Linked DNA regions of Macaca mulatta. The protein of the gene in region 2 interacts with the protein of the main gene of each other region in a biochemical or structural test. Links are inferred from orthologs where the notes say so. Each region holds a gene or a part of one and is shown on either strand. Other genes may lie near its edges.

What was found.
Region 1: the proteins of UBC (region 2) and STAM form a complex in vitro, tested with the Homo sapiens proteins (13 studies listed by BioGRID and IntAct, with this or other methods). The link is inferred for Macaca mulatta from reciprocal best matches to the Homo sapiens genes UBC and STAM.
Region 3: the proteins of UBC (region 2) and USP37 form a complex in vitro, tested with the Homo sapiens proteins (6 studies listed by BioGRID, with this or other methods). The link is inferred for Macaca mulatta from reciprocal best matches to the Homo sapiens genes UBC and USP37.

The regions. Positions count from the first base shown.
Region 1 is NC_133414.1:19,215,146-19,218,894, reverse strand, and holds the start of STAM (signal transducing adapter molecule 1), read right to left. Parts: upstream 2,732-3,749; 5' UTR 2,625-2,731; coding exon 2,585-2,624; intron 1-2,584. UniProt on the Homo sapiens protein: Involved in intracellular signal transduction mediated by cytokines and growth factors. Upon IL-2 and GM-CSL stimulation, it plays a role in signaling leading to DNA synthesis and MYC induction. May also play a role in T-cell development.
Region 2 is NC_133416.1:132,361,862-132,365,379, reverse strand, and holds UBC (polyubiquitin-C), read left to right. Parts: upstream 1-971; coding exon 972-2,801; 3' UTR 2,802-2,869; downstream 2,870-3,518.
Region 3 is NC_133417.1:123,803,970-123,807,718, reverse strand, and holds the start of USP37 (ubiquitin carboxyl-terminal hydrolase 37), read left to right. Parts: upstream 1-1,316; 5' UTR 1,317-1,629; intron 1,630-3,749. Other genes in the region: CNOT9 (CCR4-NOT transcription complex subunit 9), read right to left, coding at 669-692. UniProt on the Homo sapiens protein: Deubiquitinase that plays a role in different processes including cell cycle regulation, DNA replication or DNA damage response.

The DNA.
Region 1 (3,749 bases), on a different chromosome or scaffold from region 2:
CTTCAGATTAAGACTGAAGACAAATAATTTTGAAGACGTGCAAATGTATACAAGCGTTAAGTGATAAATAATTGTATCAAATGAGTTACTTTAATGTTATGACATACTCATTGGTTATGACATAGTGAAAGAAAAAATGGTTAGTGTATTTTATACACTGTATTCTATATACTATTTAAAAATAATATAGGAGTCTACTGGAATCTGCGCAAGGATTATGTATTGGGAATCTCTGAGGGGTCTTCTCAGATAAACCTTTTGGAATATTTCAATACACGGACTGTGAGAAGAGAATTGGTCCAATACCAAAACTTGAGCAACTTTTAAAAGTAAGCTTTTCTGGAGCAAAACAATGTTGCTACATTGAAGAAGTGTACTATCTGGCAGGCTCAACTGACACATTCTCAACTCAACAAACGTTTATTAAACACCTTCTATGTAGCAACCACTCATTAAGTAGGAAAATACAGTACATATCTTTAATGCTAAGTAATTTGGTAAAGACAAAAATGCTAAAATAAGTTAGAGGATTTTGTAAGAAGGTGGAAATTAAGAGTGGACTAGTGCAGTGGTTCTCAACTAGGAGGTATTTTGTCCCTCCAGGGGGCATGTAGCAATGTCCTGAGACTTCTAAAATCATGACTGGGGGCTGGGTGTCACTGGCATCTAGTGGATAAAGGCCAGGGATAAGGCTGAACACCCTACATTGCACAGGACAAACCCCTATGACAAAGATATTTATCTGGTCCAAACTGTCAATAACGTTGCTACTGAGAAACCCTTTGCTACAGCAATCAGGAAACGATTCAGGTATAACAAGTTGGATTCTGAGTTGGCCTTAACACATAAGGATATGTTGAAAGAGAAAAGAAAGCGTAAGCACAGGGCAAAAGCATAAAAGCAAGAAGGTGACTGTGTTTGAACTGGGTGGTACAGGTACTAGGAACAGGTTTGACATTAAGAAATTTACCTGAATCCAATGCAAATACGTGTTCACAAAGTCAGTAGAATACAAAGGTGATTGGGTAGTTGCTAGCTAAATTATACAGGACCAAGAAAACTAGACAAAGGTACTGTAAACAGAAGAAACAAGTACTAAGAAGCTGTTTTAAGTACTTCCCCTAGAGATTCATGTACTGAGATGTAAAACTGCTTGAGAGCAGCAACTAGGCCTTGCTCATCACCGTATCTCTTATGTCACTGAGCCACTGTGTCCTGTAGTGTGTGCTAACTGCTTATTAAGTTAAATGCAATTTTCCAATTCATTAAGTATAATCGGTGATCTCCAAGGTTCTGTCCACTGCTAAGATTCAGGACACTCATTTAAGCTGGAAAAAAAAAGGTAGCATCTAGTAAGTGCCTATCACATAAAGGTACTGTAGCAGGCCCTCTACACATATCATTTAACCGCAGAATGGAATGATGTATTTTCCCCTCTTTGAAGACAAGAACACTGGAACTCAAAGAATGTAACTTGCCTATGATTTCACTGTGAGCTGAGAAGTGGCAGAGGTAAGGATGAACCTTTTTTCTAGTCTTATATAAACCTCCAAGTTTCAGTGACATGCTCTAAGGAAGAGTTAAAAAAGCAAAATTCAACATCCATCTTTCATAATTAAAATACACACAGACGTATAAATTAACTTCATAAGGTGGTCCTTATTCACAGTAATCATTACATTCTGCCATAAGGGATTTGGAAATGGTATTTGGCTTTCATTCCGCACTTGTGTGCCAAGGTAGTTCCTACGTGCGTTCATATTAAACCAAAATTCTCTCCCCGGAAACTCAAATTCCCATAATTATTATCTTCAAGCCGGAAAAAAATAAAATAAAATAAAAAATAAACAAAAAGCAAACCTATTGAACTGACATAATCAGTACCTAAAACCAGTGATTCAGAAAACAACAAAAATGTAGCACTTCAAACTCTTTCCAGATTCAACAACTTCTTCCACACTTCTTTACACTTTTTTAAGGGCAGAGACCTAGCCTAAGAGAGACATCCCGAAGGCGCAGGTCCTCAATTCGGTTTCAGCTATTGCCAAGTATTTCATCTTCATCGCTCGCAACATTTTTGAGTCTAACCTTAACCAGAGCTCCCTCCTTCAGTTACCGTTGCAAAAAGATTTTAAAATCCTCTAAGGAACCTTACCTAAAACATTCTGCCAGTTCCAGACGCTCAACATTTATTTGTCTAGGCAAGCACTTTTGGTATAGGGTTTACCATCCTAATCTAGCCGACATACGCCTTAAGCCCTTCGCTGTTCGTCCAGAAGCACAGTCCCTGCACCAGATGCTACACCAGCTGCTCCTCCCAGGCCCTTTACACCAACCCCTTCAGCAGTTCTTTGGCAACCTACAGTCCTAGCTCAAGGCCCATTTCACAGGATGAGTCCCATTTCTTTCAAGAGGATGCGCCAAGTCCTCAACCTCCTCCCAGCTCTGAAGGAGGGAACCTCAGGAAACGGGAAGAGCGAGCTCTTCCTCGGCCCTGGTCCGAGGGTCCTGAATGCAGCAAGGGGCTGGCAGAGTGAGCGTGCAGTCCGGTGAGGAATGGGCAGGGAGCAGCAAAAACACTTACCAACATCCTGATCGAAGGGATTGGTGGCAAAGAGAGGCATCTCCACTGCGTGCCGAGGTGTCCGCGGGGACTCCCCCCTCGACAGCACGGGAGTCAGGGCTCGACGTAGGAAGGAAGACTCCTCAGGCAAAAACAGCAACAGAGACTGACTCTACAGGGTCCGCGACAGCTCCTCCCTCTCACCCAACCCCAGCAACCACCCCAGCAGCGGCGGTGGCGGCGGCAACAGCACTGAGCCGAGAAAGCCCCCGCGCGGAGCTTGTCGGGAATCTGGGCGACCTCGGCACTGCCTGTCCCAAAGGTGCCCCGAGCCTGCCCCATCAGTAAAGGCTGAACAGGTAGTCCCCTCTGCCTGACTCCTCTTTTAATTAGTCACACAGAAGAGTGGGATTAGTTCTTGTGTTTCCTGCTTTTCCCTTAGCTAGGAGTCTCCGGAAGACGGGGTCCTTCAGGCGTGCTGAAGCCTACTAACAACCCCCGGAGTGACTGGGAGACCCAGGAGAAAGAAAACAGGTTGAGTTTGGGTAGAGGCGTGCCCCTTTTTTCCTCTCGCTCTCTCGGTTATCATAACCTTGTATTCCTTCTGGAAGGAAATGCAAATTCTTTTGGATCATATTCTAGGTAAACAGTTTAATTCGCTGCGTGAGGTGACAAATTTGCTCGGATGAAGTCATGGGAGCTGAACGGATTGACCTGAATCCCAAGAGGGGAGTGTTCAGGGCGCGAGGCTCCCTCGGAGAGGCTGAGGTAACGCTGACTCCTTCCCGGGAGTCCCTGAACGCCGGGCTTCGGAATCTGCAGACAGCTCTGCTAGTAGGGCGTTGGCACCTACTGACTAACCGTGCAGTCACTCAGCAGCTGTGATGGTTGGTGACATGTCTTTCACAGCCCAAGATAGCCTCCCTAGACTGAGCAAAAAAAGAAAACAAAAAAACTGCAGCTAGAAGTTGATCAGTGAGTGATTCCTAGCAACCCAAAATGTTGATTTAATTATTTTACTTTTGAGTTTAATTAACCAATAAAAATTATTCTCTGTGTCATGGAGAAGTTTTAAGGAGGATCCACTAGAGATTTTGCATACCACTTGGAACAAACTTAGTAAGCTCATCTTGTACGTAAATTGAAATTATGGAAATTATCCCCCAAATTACGGCACCTCCAAATG
Region 2 (3,518 bases):
TGCGGAGGAATTTCCTTGGGGCGGTGAACGCCGATGACTATATAAGGACGCGCCGGGTGTGGCGCAGCTAGTTCCGTCGCAGCCGGGAGTGGGATCGCAGTTCTTGTTTGTGTGTCGGTGTCATCGCCACTTGGTGAGCAGAGGGCTGCTGGGCCGGCCATGGCTTTCGTGGCCGCTGGGCCGCTCGGTGGGATGGAGGGGGGCCGACGCCGCGGGATGAGAGGCCGCCGAGGGCTGTAGTCTGGGTCCGCGAGCAAGGTGCCCCTGAGCAGCGGGTGGGAGGGGAGCGCAGCAAAATGGCGGCTGTTCCCGGCTCTTGAATGGAAGACGGTTGTGAGGCGGGCTGTGAGGTTGTTGAAACAAGGTGGGGGGCATGGTTTGCGGCAAGAACCCAAGGCCTTGAGGTTTTCGCTAATGCGGGAACGCTCTTATTCTGGTGAGGTGGGCTGGGGCACCATTTGGGGACCTTGATGTGAAGTCTGTCACTGACCGGAGAACTCGCTTTGTCGTCTGTTGCGGGGGCGGCAGTTAATGGCGGTGCCACTTGGCAGTGCACCCGTAGCTTGAGGAGCGCGCGCCCTCGCAGTGTCGTGACGTCATCCGTTCTGTTGGCTCATAATGTGGGGTGGGGCCACCTGCCGGTAGGTGTGCAGTAGGCTTTTCTTCGTCGCAGGACGCAGGGTTGGGGCCTAGGGTAGGCCCTCCTGAGTCGACAGGGGCCTGACCTCTGGTGAGGGGAGGGATAAGTGAGGCGTCAGTTTCTTTGGTCAGTTCTATGTTCCTATTTTCTTAAGTAGCTGAAGTCTGAGTTTTAAACTATGCGTTCGGGGTTGGCGAGTGTATTTTGTGAAGTTTCTTAGGTATCTTTTAAATTGTAATCATTTGGGTGAATATAACATATAGTTTAAGTATTAGGAAGATTAGTACATTGTCTGCTAAATGGTGGTGGTTTTTGGCTCTTTTGTTAGACAATGCAGATCTTCGTGAAGACCCTGACTGGCAAGACCATCACCCTTGAGGTTGAGCCCAGTGACACCATTGAGAATGTCAAGGCAAAGATCCAAGATAAGGAAGGCATTCCTCCCGACCAGCAGAGGCTGATCTTTGCCGGAAAGCAGCTGGAAGATGGGCGCACCCTGTCTGACTACAACATCCAGAAAGAGTCCACCCTGCACCTCGTGCTCCGCCTCAGAGGTGGGATGCAGATCTTCGTGAAGACCCTGACTGGCAAGACCATCACCCTCGAGGTCGAGCCCAGTGACACCATCGAGAACGTCAAAGCAAAGATCCAAGACAAGGAAGGCATCCCTCCTGACCAGCAGAGGTTGATCTTTGCCGGGAAACAGCTGGAAGATGGACGCACCCTGTCTGACTACAACATCCAGAAAGAGTCTACCCTGCACCTGGTGCTCCGCCTCAGAGGTGGGATGCAGATCTTCGTGAAGACCCTCACTGGCAAGACCATCACCCTCGAGGTGGAGCCCAGTGACACCATCGAGAATGTCAAGGCAAAGATCCAGGACAAGGAAGGCATTCCTCCTGACCAGCAGAGGTTGATCTTTGCCGGAAAGCAGCTGGAAGATGGGCGCACCCTGTCTGACTACAACATCCAGAAAGAGTCCACCCTGCACCTGGTGCTCCGTCTCAGAGGTGGGATGCAGATCTTCGTGAAGACCCTCACTGGCAAGACCATCACCCTTGAGGTGGAGCCCAGTGACACTATTGAAAATGTCAAGGCAAAGATCCAGGACAAGGAGGGCATCCCTCCTGACCAGCAGAGGTTGATCTTTGCTGGAAAGCAGCTGGAAGATGGGCGCACCCTGTCTGACTACAACATCCAGAAAGAGTCCACCCTGCACCTCGTGCTCCGTCTCAGAGGTGGGATGCAGATCTTCGTGAAGACCCTGACTGGCAAGACCATCACCCTCGAGGTGGAGCCCAGTGACACTATTGAAAATGTCAAGGCAAAGATCCAGGACAAGGAGGGCATCCCTCCTGACCAGCAGAGGTTGATCTTTGCTGGAAAGCAGCTGGAAGATGGGCGCACCCTGTCTGACTACAACATCCAGAAAGAGTCCACCCTGCACCTCGTGCTCCGTCTCAGAGGTGGGATGCAGATCTTCGTGAAGACCCTGACTGGCAAGACCATCACCCTCGAGGTGGAGCCCAGCGACACCATTGAGAATGTCAAGGCAAAGATCCAGGATAAGGAAGGCATCCCTCCTGACCAGCAGAGGTTGATCTTTGCTGGGAAACAGCTGGAAGATGGACGCACCCTGTCTGACTACAACATCCAGAAAGAGTCCACCCTGCACCTGGTGCTCCGCCTCAGAGGTGGGATGCAGATCTTCGTGAAGACCCTCACTGGCAAGACCATCACCCTTGAGGTGGAGCCCAGCGACACCATTGAGAATGTCAAGGCAAAGATCCAGGACAAGGAAGGCATCCCTCCTGACCAGCAGAGGTTGATCTTTGCTGGGAAACAGCTGGAAGATGGGCGCACCCTGTCTGACTACAACATCCAGAAAGAGTCCACCCTGCACCTGGTGCTCCGCCTCAGAGGTGGGATGCAGATCTTCGTGAAGACCCTCACTGGCAAGACCATCACCCTTGAGGTGGAGCCCAGCGACACCATTGAGAATGTCAAGGCAAAGATCCAGGACAAGGAAGGCATCCCTCCTGACCAGCAGAGGTTGATCTTTGCTGGGAAACAGCTGGAAGATGGACGCACCCTGTCTGACTACAACATCCAGAAAGAGTCCACTCTGCACTTGGTCCTGCGCTTGAGGGGGGGTGTCTAAGTTTCCCCTTTTAAGGTTTCAACAAATTTCATTGCACTTTTCTTTCAATAAAGTTGTTGCATTCCCAACTGGTGTGGTTTTTTAAAAGTTAAGGTTATTTTGCATTAGACTGGGTGAAGGGGATCAAGGTTTTCAGTTTACAAATGTTGCTGTGGTAACAGTGAAATGTCAGTGAAGGGGTTGACCTTAATATAGTACGAACTGTAGAAGGTGGGTGCAAATAAAAGCCGGCTTCAAGACCAGATTGGCCAATGTGGTGAAACCCTATGTCTACTGCAAATACAAAAAGGCAGGTGTGAGTGTCTGTGATTCCAGCTACATGGGAGGGTGAAGGAGAATCCCTTGAACCAATTAAGCGGAGGTTGCTGTGATCTGAGTGCCACTGTCCTCCCGCTGGGGGAACAGCAAGACAAAAAAGTTGTTGGGAGATGGAAGTATTTTACATATGTAGATTTAACTCTTAAGTTAACTTTAAAAATACTGGTTTGTGGGTGATGTGTGAGGTAAGAGAATGGGAGAATTACCGGAACACCAGGAAGAAGGAATTTTAAAAGGTGGGAGTGGTGGGAGGGTAACTATGAAAGGATGCTTCAAGTACATAGGTCTGTATAAATGCGCATTGAGCTGCGTAGACAGTCATGGGATCAAATTTTAAGAGGATGTGGTAGGTAAAGGATTAAAAGGCATAGCCACCAAGGTGTAGAAAAGGAATTGGTT
Region 3 (3,749 bases), on a different chromosome or scaffold from region 2:
ATTATAAACGTGGGTTAAGGACCACATCATACAGGGCCTTTGTAGGCTATGGCAAGGAGTCTAGATTTTATTTAAATGCCAAGAGAAGTAGGATTACTTCAGACAGCTGAATTACACTTTCTTTTCCGTTAAAAAATCACGCGGGTAAAACGAGATGTGTCGAGGAAAGTTTTAAACGCAGAGAACCTAAGTCAGATGCAAAAATTACGCACTTCTTCGGGCCTCAGGTTTTCCATAAGTAAAGCAAGTGGTTTGAACTAGAAGCCATTTCCTTCCCGCTGCGACGCGGTGAGTTCTGAGAGCGCGAGCCGCGTCAGATTGACCATGGAATTCCCCTCATCGACGCCGGCGCCCAGAACACAACTGGCGCCCTGAAACTGTTGGTCAGCTCAAAAAATCAATGAATGGCCTGCTACGGGCGCGGGACCAGGCCCTGGCGCCCGCAAAGAACGCGATGGGTCGCGCTGGAGGCCGCGAGATGCGTCCGGCGAGGAAATACAGGCCGGCTCCACCACAACCAAAGCGTGCCGAGGAGGGGAATCGGGGCCTCGTAGGTTGAGTACAGAAAAAATCAGACTAGGGACCCGACACCGGGAACTAGGAGAGAAGGCCGAAACGTGGGTCTGAGGAAGGATTCTGGTTCCAGGCCTGGGGACCCAGCCACTCACCGCAGCCGTCGCCAGGCTGTGCATGTTGTGAGCGGCCGCCGCTCTCCTTCCACAGCCGGACGCGTCTGACCCGCGTCCCCGCTTCAGCACCCCTGCCGCGGAAAATAATGAGCCGCCGTAGCCGCCATCCGCCTCCGGCTCGCTCCGCCCCCTTCGCGGCCCTCTGACCTCTCACCCCTGACCCCACCCACACATCCTCTTCCCGCCTCCAGGCCCTCGGCCTAGTTAACAGTCCCAGAGTATGGCCTTTGCCCCTTAAGATTTAGGATCGGAAGGACGTCCACGACCACTAGTCCCCGCAACTCCTGGCTTTCAGCAGATTTTTCCAGAGAGCGGCATGAACTCTGACCCTCCTCCAAAGGCCAGTGAACGGCGGGAAAGGATGGACAGTCCCGGGAAGACAACTATTGCGCATGCCCGACTGGGCTGTGTAGGAGGGAAATGGTTGGGGGGGGTTCGAAATCGGGTGAAGCGGAAAGTGCGCGTGCGTACTACAGTCACGGCTGGGGCGGGGCTGCCCGGGCTAGGCCGCTCTAGGTGCTGGGGGGCGGGGCGAGGGCGTGTGAGGGGCGGAGTTTTTGGCTGGCGCGCACGCGCCTGTCTGGTCGCGTAGAATGTGCGTGCGTGCGTGCGTGTTTGCGTGTGGTCACAGTTCCCGCCATCAGCCGCTCTCCCTGACTAGGGGTAGCTAGCGGCCTCCCTCCTTTGGGTTTGGTATCCCTACTTCCATTACCCCCGGCTCCTCCTTCTCCGCGCGGGCTCCGTGCTTTCCGCGGGTCTGTCTGGGGGCTCCGGACCTTCGGCGCAGGTAAGGCGGGCCGGGGTAGCTTCTCAATTGAGCCGTTTTCCCTAGCACCCCCTCCCTCTGTGCGATCCGCCCACTCGGCGTTCACTCTTCTGGAGTTCGCCCTGCTGCTACTGAGCCCGCCCACAACCCCTCGACGCACCCCCAGCCTCACAGGTACTACCTTTGGGTGCATTGCCCCGGCTTTCCCCTCTCGTTTGACTTGGTCTCCACTGCCACTCTCTCCCTCCGAAACTCAAACCTGCCCCCTTTTCTCTGGGGCTGTTGTCCGCCACTTACCTTCTAACAGGGCCTGCTGTCTCTTCAGGTGACTTTCGTTACGGCACATCCATCAGGTCTTGGACATGATACTCATTCACTCTCTTGACCATTTTCACCTTCCTCTTGACCAGTCCTCACTGCAAAACATAAATTGTATTTTTGTTGTGCATTTCCTTGCTCCCATTTCTGGCCGCCAGATCAGGTAGTTAGATGTAACTATTTTAAGTCATGATCCATGAAAGGAAATGATGATTGATGACAAAGTCTTGTGTCCTGGAGAGTTGTCCTAAAGTGGTTTTGGGGTAGTCCTCTCAAAATTTCAGCTCTGTATAAATTCCTTTATTGAGGTGGCAATTCCTGACAAGTGTCTAACTGGAAGAGATATCTGAGAGGTAATGTCAAGCAGGCAGTTGGATATAGTGGGTTGGAGATCTTAGGAGAGTTCTGGGCTGGATACGTAAATGTGTGCGGTCTGTTTATGTGTATGTCATCTGCCATATTGATAGTAATTGAAGCCATGGATGTGGATGAAATTGCCTAAAAAGAGTATAGTGCTATAAAATAAAGGCGCCTAGGATGGAGCATTGAGGGATTCCTGATGTTTAATAACCGATAGAGGAGGATGCGTCTTGCAAACCATGAAAGAAGTCATCAGTAGTGTTGCATTCTGCTGAAAGGTAAAATGGAAGGAGGACTGAAAAACCCAGTGATATAAAAGTAATCGCTTGTTTTAAAGATGTTTGATGAAGTAAAATGAATATTTGGGTTCAGTCCTGCGTCCTCTTCTTTTACTCTTGTATTCCTCCCTAAGCTTTAAATTTGATCTATATATTGATGCCTTAAAAATTGTTATTTCCAGCCTATTCCCTTTGTTTTCAGCTCCACATCTAGATAGCCAGCTGTCTGCTTGACATCTCAACTTGATTTTTTTCTTAGGAGTTTCAGATGCAACACAGACAAATCCAAAGCCTTGATCTTTCTCTCCGTATCCAAATTCTTTTTTCTCCAGTGTCCCATTTTATTAAGTGGCATATGACACAGGCTACACACTTGGGAGGCATTCTTGACTTCTACTTTCCAAGTTCTATCTATTCTACTTCCAATATATGTCTTGCATCTTTTTCTGTACATTTTCACTATCACTCTTCTAGTTTAAGCCACAGTCCTTTTTCACCTGGACTTGATTGCCTTGGCTTCCGGTATTATCATCTGTAAAATGGAAATAGTAATTTTCAGCCTATTGGATTGTTATGAGGATTAAATGAGATAACCATGATAAGCACTTGGCACAGAGTAAATGGCCAGTAAGCATTAATTGTTATTGTAATTGTTATAAGCTGATCAACTTCAATACTCTTCTATTTGGTTCCCTTATTTTCTTCTGTTCTTGCTCTTAGTCACTTTCCCAAAACCCAAACCAACCATATATGACTTATCCATTCAGTAGTAACGTATTTATTTGCTTAAAACCTTTTGGTGGATTTCCCCCTGCTAAGTGCTTGTTACATTTAGGATAAAATTCGGAATCCTTACTGTGGTTCACAAGACTGCATAACCTAGTTCTTGCCTGCTTCACTAACTTTACCTTCCTCCTCTCCTTCACTAAACTCTAGCCACATTGATTTTAATTTCCCTAGTCACATCAAGTTATTTTACAATTCAAGGCCTTTAGGGATGCTGTTTGCCTGAATTGTTCCAGCACCACCATCTACCAGTCATCTCCTTCTGCAGTTTTCAACTTAAGTGATATCTTCTCAGAGAAGCCTTCTTGATGTTATCTGTCCTCTACCCCAAGTCTTAATCTTAAGTCTTATCATTCCATGTATCTTGCTTTATATCATTTCTCAGAACTTGTAATTATTGTTATTATTTTTTGAGACGGAGTTTCTGCTCTGTTGCCTAGGCTGGAGTACAATGGCATGATCTCAGCTCACTGCAACCTCTGCCCCCTAAATTCAAGTGATTCTCCTGCCTCAGCCTCCCAAGTACCCGGGATTATAGGCACCTGCCACCAC